Linked DNA regions of Callithrix jacchus. The protein of the gene in region 1 purifies or fractionates together with the protein of each later gene. This does not show direct contact. Links are inferred from orthologs where the notes say so. Each region holds a gene or a part of one and is shown in the gene's direction. Other genes may lie near its edges.

What was found.
Region 2: the proteins of SP1 (region 1) and SMAD4 purify together in Homo sapiens (affinity purification with western blotting; 4 studies listed by BioGRID and IntAct, with this or other methods). This does not show direct contact. The link is inferred for Callithrix jacchus from reciprocal best matches to the Homo sapiens genes SP1 and SMAD4.

Annotation. Positions count from the first base shown.
Region 1 is NC_133510.1:66,168,782-66,172,932, reverse strand, and holds the start of SP1 (transcription factor Sp1), read left to right. Parts: upstream 1-1,351; 5' UTR 1,352-1,385; coding exon of another isoform or gene 1,386-1,392; 5' UTR 1,393-1,579; coding exon 1,580-1,763; intron 1,764-1,835; exon of another isoform or gene 1,836-2,281; intron 2,282-2,750; coding exon 2,751-2,902; intron 2,903-3,201; coding exon 3,202-4,151. UniProt on the Homo sapiens protein: Transcription factor that can activate or repress transcription in response to physiological and pathological stimuli.
Region 2 is NC_133514.1:94,254,493-94,264,872, forward strand, and holds the start of SMAD4 (mothers against decapentaplegic homolog 4), read left to right. Parts: upstream 1-4,056; 5' UTR 4,057-4,462; intron 4,463-10,380. UniProt on the Homo sapiens protein: In muscle physiology, plays a central role in the balance between atrophy and hypertrophy. When recruited by MSTN, promotes atrophy response via phosphorylated SMAD2/4.

The DNA of each region.
Region 1 (4,151 bases):
AGTGGAGGCCGGAAATCCAGGTGCCTGCAGTAAAGTTTCTTAACCTTCGTGATTGCAAAAAGCAGGAGCTCAGCTATCTTGCTTTATGCACAGGCGGTATTTACTATTAAGGGAGAAAAATGGAAGTGACTTATTTGCACCTTAGCCTCAAAGCTCTTGAAAAGTTAACCAGCCGTAAGTGGTTAGAGCCTTTGTCTGGGGGAACTTAATAAAATGGCGTTTTCTCGACTCTTACGGAGACTCTGCATATTGGTCAGCTCAGTATTAACTTATTTGGTGAGCGCTGTTCCCAGATCTCCCGCCTGCACTAGCAAGGCTTGCGGCGAGATGATGCATCTGACTGCCTGTCTGCCCGCCCCGGGAGGGTTTAAGATTTGAGAGGTACGTTATTCATAGGGACAGTTAAATGAAGACTCAAACAAGTCCTGGTGTTGAGGCAGAACTGCGCGCCGATTGCCTTGGCTCCAACGCCTGTTGAGCCGCAGGGCTCCGCTAAAGCGTCCAACTAAATACATGCAACGACGTCCCCCGAAGAGGGCCAATATGGCGACGGTCTCCTCTTGGCACAGCCCTCTTCCCTCCCTCATGATGGGCGGCTCCAGTAACTCCCATTGGCCAACTAGGAGGCGGTGCCAGGCTTACTTCGTCTCCTCATTGGATTGAATAACTGAGGGAGCAGCCAATTCTCCTCTGCCCGCTCCAAGTTTCCGCCCTCAGAGTTAATTCGGCGTTTAATTGGCTTTTAGTTCACGTCAATATGCGTCCTTTCCTGTCTCTTTTCAGTCTTAATCCAATCATAACTTCCCTGGCTGCCCGCCTGATTTCTGATTGGTTTTAATCAGCTTCATCCTATTATATTCCTGCCTACTTCTTACCTCTCCTCCCACTAGGATTTTGCCCAAGCACATCCCGGACTCTGGTTGGCCGTTGTTCTGTCATTCCTATCAAAGTTTTCCCTATCCCTACGTCTCAGGGAGCCCGCCTGCCGGTTGACTGGTTTTTTTTGAAGCCAATCACTTTCAGTTCCCGCCCATCTTCACTTCCTGCATCTTTCATTGGCTTTTAATACTGAGAGGACAGTCTTTTTGGGCGGACACCAGGCACGCAACTTAGTCATACACGCCTTAGAGAGCAAGCTTTTCTTGCCATTGGATTATCTCACCGTCTTTCTTCTGCAAGTCCCTCCTTTCCCCCTCCCTCATTGGGCGGGGCAGCAGCGAAGGGGCGGAGCCTAGGTTGGGCTTGTGGCGCGCTGCTCCCTCCTCCTTACCCCCCCCCTCCCTGTCCGGTCCGGGTTCGCTTGCCTCGTCAGCGTCCGCGTTTTTCCCGGCCCCCCCCAACCCCCCCCGACAGGACCCCCTTGAGCTTGTCCCTCAGCTGCCACCATGAGCGGTAAGGATGAGTCCACTCCAAGCTTAGGGGTGGGAGGGGAATGAGGGGGCGCGCGCGAGGGCCGACCGGGCGATCCCCGCCGGGAGGGGGGGGCGGGCGGGAGGCGGCGGCGGAGGCCTAGGTCCCGCCCGGGGCGGAGGGAAGGGAGGGAGACGGGGCAGTGACGGGGCCTCCGAGGAGGAGGGGGATGGGCCGCCCGCCCCGGGGGAGGGGGCAGCGTGGCCTCGCCCGCCCCCTGCCCGCCCCGGCCACGGGGGACGGGCCTTACCCCCCACTATTCGGCCGACAGCCTAAGGCTCCTCCCGCCGTGGGCTGGAGCCGCGGGGGCGGCCCGAGCAGTGAAGGCCCCGCCCGGGCCAACCGCCGGCCTGGTCCGCCCCTGCTCCAAGGCCCTCCTCCCCCCACTTTCCGTAGATTTCCCTTCGCCTCCCCCCCACCGTCCCGCCCTTTCCACGCCCCTCACCCCGAAACCGCCCTTTCCCTGAGGGCCCGCCCTCCGCCCCGAAACCTCCTGATTACTAATCCGTAGACCCCTTTAGTCCCTTATCAGTATTCACAAATGCTTTCCTACTCACACTTTTTACTTTTTTTTCCCTCCCTTTTCACTCTCCTCTTGTTACTTTTCACACTTGGATTTTTCTTTCTCCATTTCTTTTTCTTTTTTTTTTTTTTGAGTTGGAGTTTTGCTTTTGTTTCCTAGGCTGGAGTGCAATGGTGAGATCTGGGCTCACTGCAACCTCTGCCTCCCAGGTTCAAGTGATTCTCCTGCCTCAGCCTCCCGAGTAGCTGAGATTCCAGGGATACGCCACCACGCCCGGCTAATTTGTGTTTTTAGTAGAGACAGGGTTTCTCCATGTTGGTCAGGCTGGTCTTGAACTCTCGACCTCAGGTGATCTGCCTGCCTTGGCCTCCCAAAGTGCTGGGACTACAGGCGTGAGCCATTGCGCCCGGCCTTTCCATCTCTTTTAACCTTAATTTTAGCAAGCTTTCCATCCACCCACATGTTGTTTTTTGCCTTACCTGTTCTTTTCTTTTGTTTCCCCCAGGATACTTTTTCTCATTTTGAAACTCTTTCAACATGCCTACCATCCTTCACATTTCCTATTCCCAAAGCACTTTTTGAATGTTTTCTTAGTTTAATTTTGTGCAAGGGAGAAGTGAGGCCCACTTTTGGCACCATTGAGCCTATTTCATGTCTTGCATGCCCTGCAGCTCCCCTCTGTCCTCTAATCCATTTTCTTTATACTGGCGCCTTTTGCCTTCCTGTTAGTCATTGCTGTTTCATCATAGCCTCCTTTTATCCTTCCTACTTCTTTTCTTCCCTCCAGTTTAAGTTGCTTGTTTTTTAATACTTTCAGACCAAGATCACTCCATGGATGAAATGACAGCTGTGGTGAAGATTGAGAAAGGAGTTGGTGGCAATAATGGGGGCAATGGTAATGGTGGTGCCTTTTCACAGGCTCGCAGCAGCAGCACAGGCAGTAGCAGCAGCACTGGAGGAGGAGGGCAGGTAAGTGATCATCACAGAGTGGGGAAGGTGTTCAGAGGATGTAAATATTATTAGATAGTTGCCTTACTCTTCACAGAAAGCTTTTTAGGGAGGGACTAAACCAGTTTATAGGTAAGGAAGTAAGCACAGAGATTGGAGATCCCCAAAGACAGGAGTTTCAGCAATACAGATAGGTCAGCTTTTTGTTTCTGCTTTTTGCTCCTTGTCTGCACTACGTTGCTTTTTATTTGTTGTATACTGCCCCCTAGGCTGGCAGCTGGGTGTCACTAACTCCTTTCCTCTCCCTTATTTTCGGCCAGGAGTCCCAGCCATCCCCTTTGGCTCTGCTGGCAGCAACTTGCAGCAGAATTGAGTCACCCAATGAGAACAGCAACAACTCCCAGGGCCCAAGTCAGTCAGGGGGAACAGGTGAGCTTGACCTCACAGCCACACAACTTTCACAGGGTGCCAATGGCTGGCAGATCATCTCTTCCTCCTCTGGGGCTACCCCTACCTCAAAGGAACAGAGTGGCAACAGTACCAATGGCAGCAGTGGCAATGAATCTTCCAAGAATCGCACAGTCTCTGGTGGGCAGTATGTTGTGGCTGCCACTCCCAACTTACAGAACCAGCAAGTTCTGACAGGACTACCTGGAGTGATGCCTAACATTCAGTATCAAGTAATCCCACAGTTCCAGACTGTTGATGGGCAGCAGCTGCAATTTGCTGCCACTGGGACCCAAGTGCAGCAGGATGGTTCTGGTCAAATACAGATCATACCAGGTGCAAACCAACAGATTATCACAAATCGAGGAAGTGGAGGCAACATTATTGCTGCTATGCCAAACCTACTCCAGCAGGCTGTCCCCCTCCAAGGCCTAGCTAATAATGTACTCTCAGGACAGACTCAGTATGTGACCAATGTACCAGTGGCCCTGAATGGGAACATCACCTTGCTACCTGTCAACAGCGTTTCTGCAGCTACCTTGACTCCGAGCTCTCAGGCAGTCACGATCAGCAGCTCTGGGTCCCAGGAGAGTGGCTCACAGCCTGTCACCTCAGGGACTACCATCAGTTCTGCCAGCTTGGTGTCATCACAACCCAGTTCCAGCTCCTTTTTCACCAATGCCAATAGCTACTCAACTACTACTACCACCAGCAACATGGGAATTATGAACTTTGCTCCCAGTGGATCATCAGGGACCAACTCTCAAGGCCAGACACCCCAGAGGGTCAGTGGGCTGCAGGGGTCTGATGCTCTGAACATCCA
Region 2 (10,380 bases), on another chromosome or scaffold:
GAAGAAGGAACCATCAATGAAGGAGGAAAACCAAGAGGATATGGTTAAAAAAAGTGAATTAAGTGATTAGCTGTGTCAGCTGTTACAGATACATCAATCAAGATGAGAACTGAGACTAGATCATTGGGTTTAGCCAATGTGAAGTTCATTTTTGGCCTTCATAAGAATAGTTTTGATAGAGTGGTAAGGACAAAAGCATGAATGGAGTTTAAGAGAGGGTGGGAGCCTACCACTCAGCTGATGATCTATAATATGCCACGTATGTAACCTGGTGTGTAATGATTCTACTACATATATATGGAGTCTTAACATATGTATCATGCATGACATGTTTTTGAGCTTTATATAAATGGTGTTGTATGGTATGTATTCTGCTGTTGTGGAATGGGAAAACTGCAGACAAAGCATAGAAAACTCTTTTAGAAGCTTCGTTGCAAAGGAATTAGAGAAATGGGTGATAGCTGACAGTAGATATAGGTTAAAGAGAAGAATTTGTAGGACTGGAAAAATCACAGCTGCTTGTAAGCTTACCAGAATGACCCAGTAGAGAAATATTGATAATATAGAATAGGGGGATAATTGCTGAAGTGACAGTGAGGATCTTGATTAGTCAAGATAGGACCTTGATCTGTATCTTGGTGACAATGCTCCTTTAGCTAGGAGCATGGCAATTCAACCATGTGAGGATGGGAAAGGCAGAGTAGAGGCTGGTATATGGGTGTGGGTGATGTTGAGATTCTGTGGAAGTTTTTCTCTTATTGCTTCAATTTTCTCAAACAAGGGTAGTAATTGAGGATGATCGAGGGGAGGATATGCAAGTTAAACAGAGAAGGTACAAAATCCAGAAGAATGGAGGAGGGAAGTAGAATTGCTGGACAGCACAAAGGGTCTACCTGAGCTTCATAGTGATGAAATTAAAGTGAAAGTACTCAGTGAGATTGTGTTCTTCCCTAGTCACATTCAGATGCATGAGTGCTAGCTTGAATCAGGATCATGGCTTTGCAAACAAGCAAGCACAACAAAGGGAGAGAAAGGCAATGGGGCTGAGGGCATGTATAAGAGTGATTGTGATTGGCCAGGGGTTGAGGCTGGGTGAGAGCGGATATGAGGCTTCAAGAATTGTTGGAATTAGAGTACTACAGGGAGTGACCTGGAAGACTGAGGTGGTGAATGGGGTGTGAGATGTTTGAAACCGAGATAATGAAGAAGTTGCAGTTTGATAAGGCTAATGTGATTATGACCATGGGAGTAAGTGGCTGAGTTAGGGTATGTGCAAGTTAGAGGACAGAGAAGGTACAAAATCCAGAAGAGTGGAGCAGGGATGTATGACAGAACTGCTGAACAGCATTAAGGGGCTACCTGAGGTTCATGGTGAACAGCGAGGGTCTCCAGCCAATAGCCAGGAAAAGACTGAGGCCCTCAGCCCTGCAGCCTGCAAGGAACTGAATGTTGCCAACAACCACATGAGCATGGAAGCGGATCCTCTGTCCCAGCCTCACTTTGTAGAGGACACAGCTAACCCATGCCTTGATTCCTGACTCAGAGCAACTGTAAGATCACAAAATTGAAGCAATGAGAGATCCCTGGAGAAGAAGAAAAGGAACTGAGAGGCCAGGGTACTAGGAAGATCTTATAACCACCTAGCACTAGGACAGAAGTGGCATTAGAGTGACTGACAGGAGCAAATTGTGCAGAGATGAAGGGGAGTGAGGTCAGCGATAGAGGTACTGGATAGCAAGATTTAAAGCTGCTGGTTTAGAGGAGGAGGGGGATGGTTTGAAAGCAATGTTGAGAAGCAAGAAGGAAACCTACCCCACTTCCAGGCACTGAGAGGCTGAAAGCTGAAAACACAGTTGCCACTACTTGAGAGGTGGAAGGAGAAGCAGTGTTCCACGGCAAAGCTGGGGTTTCCCTTAAGTAAAAAGGTGAAGGGAACCTGAAGAGAAATTCTGAGAAGAGGCTGAGCTTATAGAGAATGCCATTTGCCTAAATAAATAGATAGCATTGTAGACTGAATCTAAAGAAGCCCCATATGATCCCCACCTCCTGGTGTTCATGCCTTTGTGTGTCTCCTTCCCCTTGGCAGTGTAGGTGGTGCCTGTGATTTGCTTCTGGCCAGCAACGTATGGCAAAAGTGACAGGGTATGAGTGACACAGTGTATGTGATGATGTTACATAAGATTGAAACCAGTGTCTTGCTGAGACTCTCCCCATTGCTGGCTTTGAAGAAGCAAGCTGCCATATTGTTAGCTTCCCTATGGAGAGGACCACATGGCAAGGAACAGAGGGGGTCTCCAGCCAACAGCCTGTAAGGTACTGAGGCCCTCAGTCCTGCAGCCTGCAAGGAACTGAATGATGCCAACAACCACATGAGCTTGGAAACGGATCCTTTGTTCCAGCCTCACTTTGTAGAGGACCCAGCTAAGCCATGCCTTGTCTCCTGACCCACAGAAACTGTAAGATCATAAATATGTGTTGTTTTAAGCTTCTATATTTGTGCTGACATTGTTATACAGCAATAGATAACTAATACAGACGGAATGGAAGAAGTTTAGTTATAACAATGTCTCAACTTTTAAAAAACTTCTTCTGAAGTGTATTACCTAAGAATCACATATTGAACTATTATTAAATCATGTTTAGTAATCTATTAGCTGACAGATCTACTTTCAGTTTTGTTGACAGAAAAGATTGGAAAACTATCCGACTTGCAAAATAATTTAATACCCTTCACCTAAGGTCATTTACTTTCTCAGCATAGATACCGATATTTGAATTGCCCCTTTTGGATTGCTGGGGAGGTTCTGCATTGACCCAGTGTACCTTAATAATGAGTAAGAATTCTGACTTTCTTTTGTAAGGTGGGAGGGAGAAGGGTAGTTTTGAAAACAGGTGCTGTGTCCTTAGCTCCCTTCTCAAGCTGGGCAATTTTAGAAAACAGAACATATAGCAACGGAAGATATGGAAATGAAATCCCTTAAAACTGGTCTTCATAAACCCCAGTGGTAAGAGAACACCAGTTTGAAGCTTTAGGGGCTTTCTGGCATTAAAAGAAAAAAAAAAGTGGGGGGGAAATGGCCCAGGATGTGGAGGACAGAATGAGGCACAGAGGATCTATGTGGCGAAGGCATGCGGTGGGTGTAGAGAGTTCTGGGCTACGTGACCTAAGAAATGACTTTAGAACTGGCTCATCATTAGTTTTGGAGGGACTAAAACTAGTCCCAAAGTAGTTCCTGCTTGGTGAAAATATATCATTAATGCGTTTTAAATTAAAAAAAGAAATGCATGCGTCTTGTAAAAAATGAAATAAAAGAAATATAAAGCCAAAAGCAGAGCCTATGCCTTTCCCCACCGAACAAACAGATAACCTAGTTAATAGGTGTGTAGTAGGAGTCGAAGTTCCCCTCCAGCTCCGAGAGTGCTCTGTATCTCCTCCAACAAAACCACCCACACTTGGAACGCCTGGCAAGGCTCTTCAGTAAGGGATTCCTTGACTGTCCTGTGCGTCTCTCGAGTTTAAACACCTCTGGGGCTCGTGATTCGGGGCTGCCGGAGAGGGAAGGTGCGGCCAGCGTCTGTTTCTTACCGAAGTGAACTGCTACAACCTAGCCACGTTCTCCTCCGAGCTGTAGACTGGCTCTTGAAGGCCAATTTTTGTGCCTACGCAGGTCCTCAACACCAAACAAAACAAAAAACCAACAAAGGCCGGGCTAATCACTGTTTATAAACACTTACTGGACGCCCACTCAACGCCGAGCTCTCCTGCGCAGCTTGGGTACTTTTTTGCAAAGAGATGCCAGTGTCCCTGGCGACCACTCCCTCAAGCAGGCCTTCGCCCTCCGCCCGCATCGCGGCCCAGGCCCAGGCCCAGGCCGAGGCCGGGACTCTGAGCCTCCCGCCGGCTGGCGCTGCCCGGCAGGCGCCTGCGCAGAGCGACCCTCCCCTTCACAGGGGGCGGGGGACGGAAGGCGGGGGCAGCCGGGAGAAAGGAAAGCTGCGGGGGAAAAGGGCCAAACCCTGAAATTACCCGGATGTGGTCCCCGCGCGCGCATGCTCAGTGTTCTCTCGACAAGTTGGCAGCAACAACACGGCCCTGCTCGTCGTCGCCGCTGCGGTAACGGAGCGGCTCGGGTGGCGGAGCCTGCGTTCGCGCCCTCCTGCTCTCAACGGGAGGCCTTTCTCGCCCTCCCCTCGGCTCCGCAGTCGCCCAGCGGGTGGGAGCGGGTGAGGGAAGCCGGGTGCCTCGCGAGAGAGGCCCCCCGCCGCGGGGCTGCCCGGGAGCTCGAGGCGGTCCGGTCGGCGCGGGCAGCGGCGCAGCGCTGAGGAGAGGCGGCCTGGCCGGGAAGCCTCGGGGCGGGGGCCGAGGAGCTCTCCGGGCCGCGGGCGAAAGCGACGGGCCCGGAGCGTCCGCGGACCAGCAGCGGCGGGAGAGCGGACTCCCCTCGCCACCGCCCGAGCCCAGGTAACCGCGCCATGTCCCCTCCCCTTCCCCCGGCCTGGCCCGCGCACCCCGCCCGCGGCTTCTCCGCCCCGGGGCGGGCTCCCGGCGGCGGCGGGGAGCGCGCGGATCCGCTGGGAGGGCGACCGTGGCTACCTGACGAGCCGGCCCGGGCGGGCTGGGTGAATGCAGGGTAGCGGTGCCTCGCGTCCCTCCAGCTCCCAGCTCCGCTAGCAGCTCGTGCGAGAATCAAGTTAAACTCGGACGGGACTCCTGCCGCGGCCGCCGCTCCTCTTTGTTGTTCTGGAGTAGTTTCTTGGTCGCCCGGGCTGAGCGCGTTGGGTCGGCTGGAGTGTGTTGCCTTACGGTCTAAATGAAAGTTGTAAATTGTTTGTCTTAATTTATTTTCTCCAGCCAATTTCTGTTTTCTCTTTGTCCTTTACTTTCTCTTCCTAGTCGTGTCAATGCCAGTTTACGCTTCTGTCTTTGATATGTTTAGTTTTTGAGTACTGAGAGTGACGGTGGTATGCCGGACACATTCTTAGCACCTAACTGAACCCCTTCTTCCCCCTATATAACATGCTCCCTAATAAAAGGCACAGTTGATCTTACTGTTAGCACTACGTGTACTGAGAGTGAAATGGGTGTAGGGTGGAGGGCGGTGGCTCCATCACTTGCCCCAAACTGTTGTTAGGATCTCTCAAACTAGATTTTCAAAGACACGAGTATGTTTAGTTAACCTGAAAGGTTTATTGGCTGGTGCAGAGGTTTTACAAAGCCCTGCTGAATATTAATAGCTGTTTCCCTCAAAAACCTAAGTACATTTGTTTTTAATAAAGCGCGCGCGCGCACACACACACACACACACACTCACACACACATTTATTTCCAAATTACTTTCTTAATGCATTTAGTTTTTGCACCGTAGTTTAAGGTGAAATTGCCAGTTACTTAGGAATAATAAATATAACAAGATAATAAGGGAATTAGACTGAGTTGACTTTCTGCAGACATACAATCTTAGCTAATTTTTGTTAATAACCTTTTGACTTTTGTCGGAATTAGAATCCTTTTAGTCTTAGTAGCAGCTTGGTTACTCGGGTATTTAAGAATTAGATTCACTACTTTTTGCTGGCAAAAAACATTTATTAGAGTCTCAAAAAAATGAAATGCATAATGTTGTAATTAGGTTTAGAACATGGCATTTGAATAATTTTTATGGTGGATTTCATAAATTACTTTGCCATACTCTGCCGAGACTAGATATATATTTTTTAGTTGAAATATAGGAAATTCTAAAGTGCAACTTTTTTTTTATGCTGAGGACTTATTCTGTCTATATTGGAAAGTTCTGATGTGATTAGTAGATAACATTCTAAACTGTAAATGATTAACATTTAAAAACACGGATTTTTAAAATTAATGTTTCTTCCATAATGCTGTCATGATTTTGTATACTTAAATGGGTTCCTTAAAGAACAAATGTAATAGAGATAGGCCAAGCATTTATAATTTGGAGTAGCTTTAGATCTAAAGATGGTGATGAATTATGTAGGCTTAAGTTGTTGGAATTAAAACCAAAAGCTTCTTTAGATAAAATTGTTACAATATTTAACTTTATTAATAGAAGTGGCTTTTTCCTTGCTTTCCAGGTTTTCGGGTGAGTTTTTAAAAAGTATGGCATCTTGGGTTTTTTATTTTTGAAGTGGGGGTGTATGGCTCTGTTTAGGTCAGTGCCTTCAGTGTAAATCTTGAGTTTAGAAAAAAACAAATTGCAAATCTGTTTTTCAGACTTAATGAAAATTTGTGCTGAGAAATATTTCACTTTGAAATATTTTGGAATAAGTTTTATGTGGATGATTGACTTTTTATGATAGTTTTGCTGCTTGAAGCAATTCTGCCTATACTAGGAGGCAGCAAATCTTATTTTAGAAAACTTGTGCTTCATTTTCTTTTTTTTTTTTATTGCATTTTAGGTTTTGGGGTACATGTGCAGAACATGCAAGACAATTGCATAGGTACACACATGGCAGTGTGTTTTGCTGCCTTCCTCCCCTTCACCCACATTTGGCATTTCTCCCCAGGCTATCCCTCCCCAGCTGCCCCGCCCCCGTCCCTTCCCTATTGCCCCAATAGACCCCAGTGTTTAGTACTCCCTTCCCTGTGTCCATGTGTTCTCATTTTTCGTCACCCACCTATGAGTGAGAACATGCGTTATTTCATTTTCTGTTCTTGTGTCAGTTTGCTGAGAATGATGTTCTCCAGATTCATCCATGTCCCTACAAATGACACGAACTCATCATTTTTGATTGCTGCATAATATTCCATGGTGTATATGTGCCAGATTTTCCCAATCCAGTCTATCATCGATGGGCATTTGGGTTGGTTCCAGGTCTTTGCTATTGTAAACAGTGCTGCAATGAACATGCATGTGCATGTGTCCTTATAGTAGAACGATTTATAGTCCTTTGGATATATACCCAGTAATGGGATTGCTGGGTCAAATGGAATTTCTATTTTAAGGCCTCTTAAGCTACATTTTAGTCGAGCGATTGATTGTGTGTGAATTCCTTTTCTGTGTTCCTCTTCAGTTTTTCTTTTCCCCCCAAATTAAGGAGCAAGCATTAACCTAATTTGTGCTGCCCAGTCACACTGCAGCTCTCCCACTTGGAAGCAGTTTCTTTCTGATTGAGCCAGTGTTATAGTAACATCATTAGACACCATTCTAATTGAGGTGTGAATTACTGAGGCCTCTACTAGGGCGGTTAACCCTATAGAATCTGCAGGGTTCATTATATGTAAAATGCATATTTAGGCTTGTCTAAATTTTTGTCTATTTTGGTGAAAACAGGTTTTGCTGATGTTTAAATTTAGTTCATTTTGTCCCTCTCTAGTTCATACCTAACCTTTTTTCCATTTTTAATTCAGTGATTTTTTTTTTTTTTAGAGTGACTGGTTCTTTAAGCATCTTTTAATCGGCATTTCAGCACTCATTATATATGTTTGGATTTCTTTTTGTTGGTGTTGTTGACCTGGAAGACTGTGTAGTTACGAATAATTTTTTTTTTTTTTTTTGCTTAGATCGATGATGGATGGTGGCTCTGAGATGACTGTTAATTGTGTATAAAAGTAACCTGACAAAAAATGTTTTGTTATCTACAGTTAAAGGACAGACCAGAATAACACAGCATTTCTTCTTCTTTTTTTTTTGAAATGGAGGCTTGCTCTATTTGTTTGTTTTTGAGATGGAGGCTTGCTCCATCTGAGATGGAGATTCCAGGCTGGAGTCCAGTGGTACAATCTCAGCTCACTGCAACCTCCGCCTCCCAGGTTCAAGCAGTTCTTCTGCCTCAGCCTCCCGAGTAGCTGGGATTACGGGCATGTGCCACCACAGCACCTGGCAAATTTTTGTATTTTTAGTAGAGACAGGGTTTCACCACGTTGGTCAGGCTGGTCTTGAACTCTTGACCTCAGGTGATCCACCCACTTTGGCCTCCCAAAGTGCTGGGATTACAGGTGTAAACCTCTGTGCGTGGCCATAACACAGCATTTAATACAGTTCTGTATATCAAATTTTGGACTTTTTGTTCAACAGTTGATGAAGTCTCAATTGTTGCAAAATGAGAAATTGAAACAGTTGACAAATATATCTAGATGTATTCATTTGAGCTACTTGTAGAGTGATGCTGTTTGCATATGCCAAGCATACACTTGATCATAAGTCAGATTTAGAATTTTTGGATTTTTTTTCTCTCTAAAATGTGTAATTTGGTGATGGGAAATTGGACTGAATCCAGTTTCTCAGGAACAAAGTATTTTAGGTTGTGTCACCTTGACACTTACGTGGTGTATTTGGCATCCGGGAATATTTGTTTTTAACTCTGAAAGTGAGTGAAACCTAGGGTAGTGCTTACATATGTAAAACTAAGATGGTAGATAGTTGGATTCTTATAATTTATAAGGTGCTTATAATCTAAGTCTCGATAAGTTGCTACTGCAAATTGTATCATAGATCAGACAGGTAAGTATCAAAGACCAATCATAAAGAGGGTCTGTTGTTAACATTTTAATCAGCTTAAAATTGGCGATAATGGTAAAGACCTTTTGACTCAAAGACTGTATTTCATTATTTACATTTCAAATGAGAATTTTTTGCAGTTTGGAAAACTTGTAAATGTGTTGAATTTATCTTATTTTGAGACAAAGTCTTGCTCTTGTTCCCCAGGCTGGAGTGCAGTGGTATGATCTGAGCTCACTGGAACCTCTGCCTCCCGGATTCAAGCCATTTTTCTGCCTCACCCTCCCAAGTAGCTGGGTTTACAAGCACCTGCCACCACGCCTGGCTAATTTTTGCATTTTTAGCGGGGGAAACGGGATTTCACCATGTTGGCCAGGCTGGTCTTGAACTCCTCCTGACCTTAGGTGATCTGCCGGCCTCAGCCTCCCAAAGTGCTGGGACTATAGGTGGGAGCCATCTCGCTCAGCCGAATTTATCTTTTTATTGCCTTTTTTACTCCCAAGGTTTAGGGCGATGGTCTCTCCTCTCCTTCTCCCTCTCCCTCTCTTTCTCTTTCTTTCTCTTTTTTTCTCTCTCCCTTTCTCTTCTTTTTTTTTTCTTTTTCTTTTCATCTTGCTCAGTGCCCCAGCCCTAGAGTATTGCAATCATAGTTGACTGCAGCCTTACCTCCCAGGCTCAAGCAGTCCCACCTCAACCTCCCTGGTAGCTGGAACTACAGGCATGCAGCATCACACCTGTCTAATTTTTTTGAAAATTTTTTGTAGAGACAGGATCTCCCTGTGTTGCCCAGGCTGGTCTTGAACTCTTGGGTTCAAGTGATCCTCCCACCTCGACCTCTCAAAGGTGCTGGGATTACAGGCATGAGCCACCATGCCTGGCCAGTTGTTTTCAGTCTTGGCTGTACTTTTAGATATCTTTGGGAGTTTTACAAAATACTGATGCCTGAATTGCAGCCCCAGAAATTAATGTGATTAGGTTGGTCTGGGGTGCAGCCAGGTTAGCCCTCCACAGTGATTGAGCCATTAGGGTCCTCTGACTTTTGAACTGCTTCACTTGTGTTAGCTTTACATTGTTTAATACGGTGATAAACATATGCACAGTGTAGTCATTTCACACTTAATGGGCCTTTTGAAAGTATTGCCATATTTGTTTTGCTTCTGTGTCTGTCTCCTTTCTTTCTCTCCCCCTTCCTATCACATATTCCTTTCTCCTGTTTCTTTACTTTCAGTTTATTTGAACTGTCTGGTAGTAAGTTTTAGGAAGCTGTATTTCCCATTATGAGTAGTTAGTATATCATCACTCTTTTAAATAGGAAGTTGGTCTTCTTTTAAAGTATATTCCCAAATGCTTACTTGTACTCCTTTTGGAGACTGATTACTTTAAGTCCCTAAGTTAGCATCTAACTCCCGGTGGGCTTGATGTGATGGCTTACTCTTGTAGTCTCAGCGCTTCCTGAGGCTGAGGTGGGAGGATCACTTGAGCCCAGGATTTCAAGGCCAGCCTGGGCAACAAAGTGAGACCTTGAGTCTTAAAAAAGAAATAAATAAAACTCCTAATGCAAATTGTCTTCTTAGGGGGTTAATCTACTTGGAAACCATAATGTTTTCTAGCCACCAGTTAACTAGTTACTTAACCAGTTTCTGAGACGCAGGTTGCATTGGGCTTTTTCTGTCAGGGCTTAACTTACACGCTGCAAGACAGTTGCTCGGCTAGGCCAGCTAGCTAGTACGTCTTTAGAGATCATCGAGGGCATGTTCAGCTCTCCATTTACATCACCTGAAGTAGTTCCCAAGTGCTGGGCTATGGAGTAGTTTCATCTCTCTCTCTGGAAAAGCTATTTTAAAAAATAAAAATATTTTTTCCCTGCCTGATTGTAATACACATGCTGCTTCAGAATGGGAATGGAGTGGAGGAGACTTGGGAA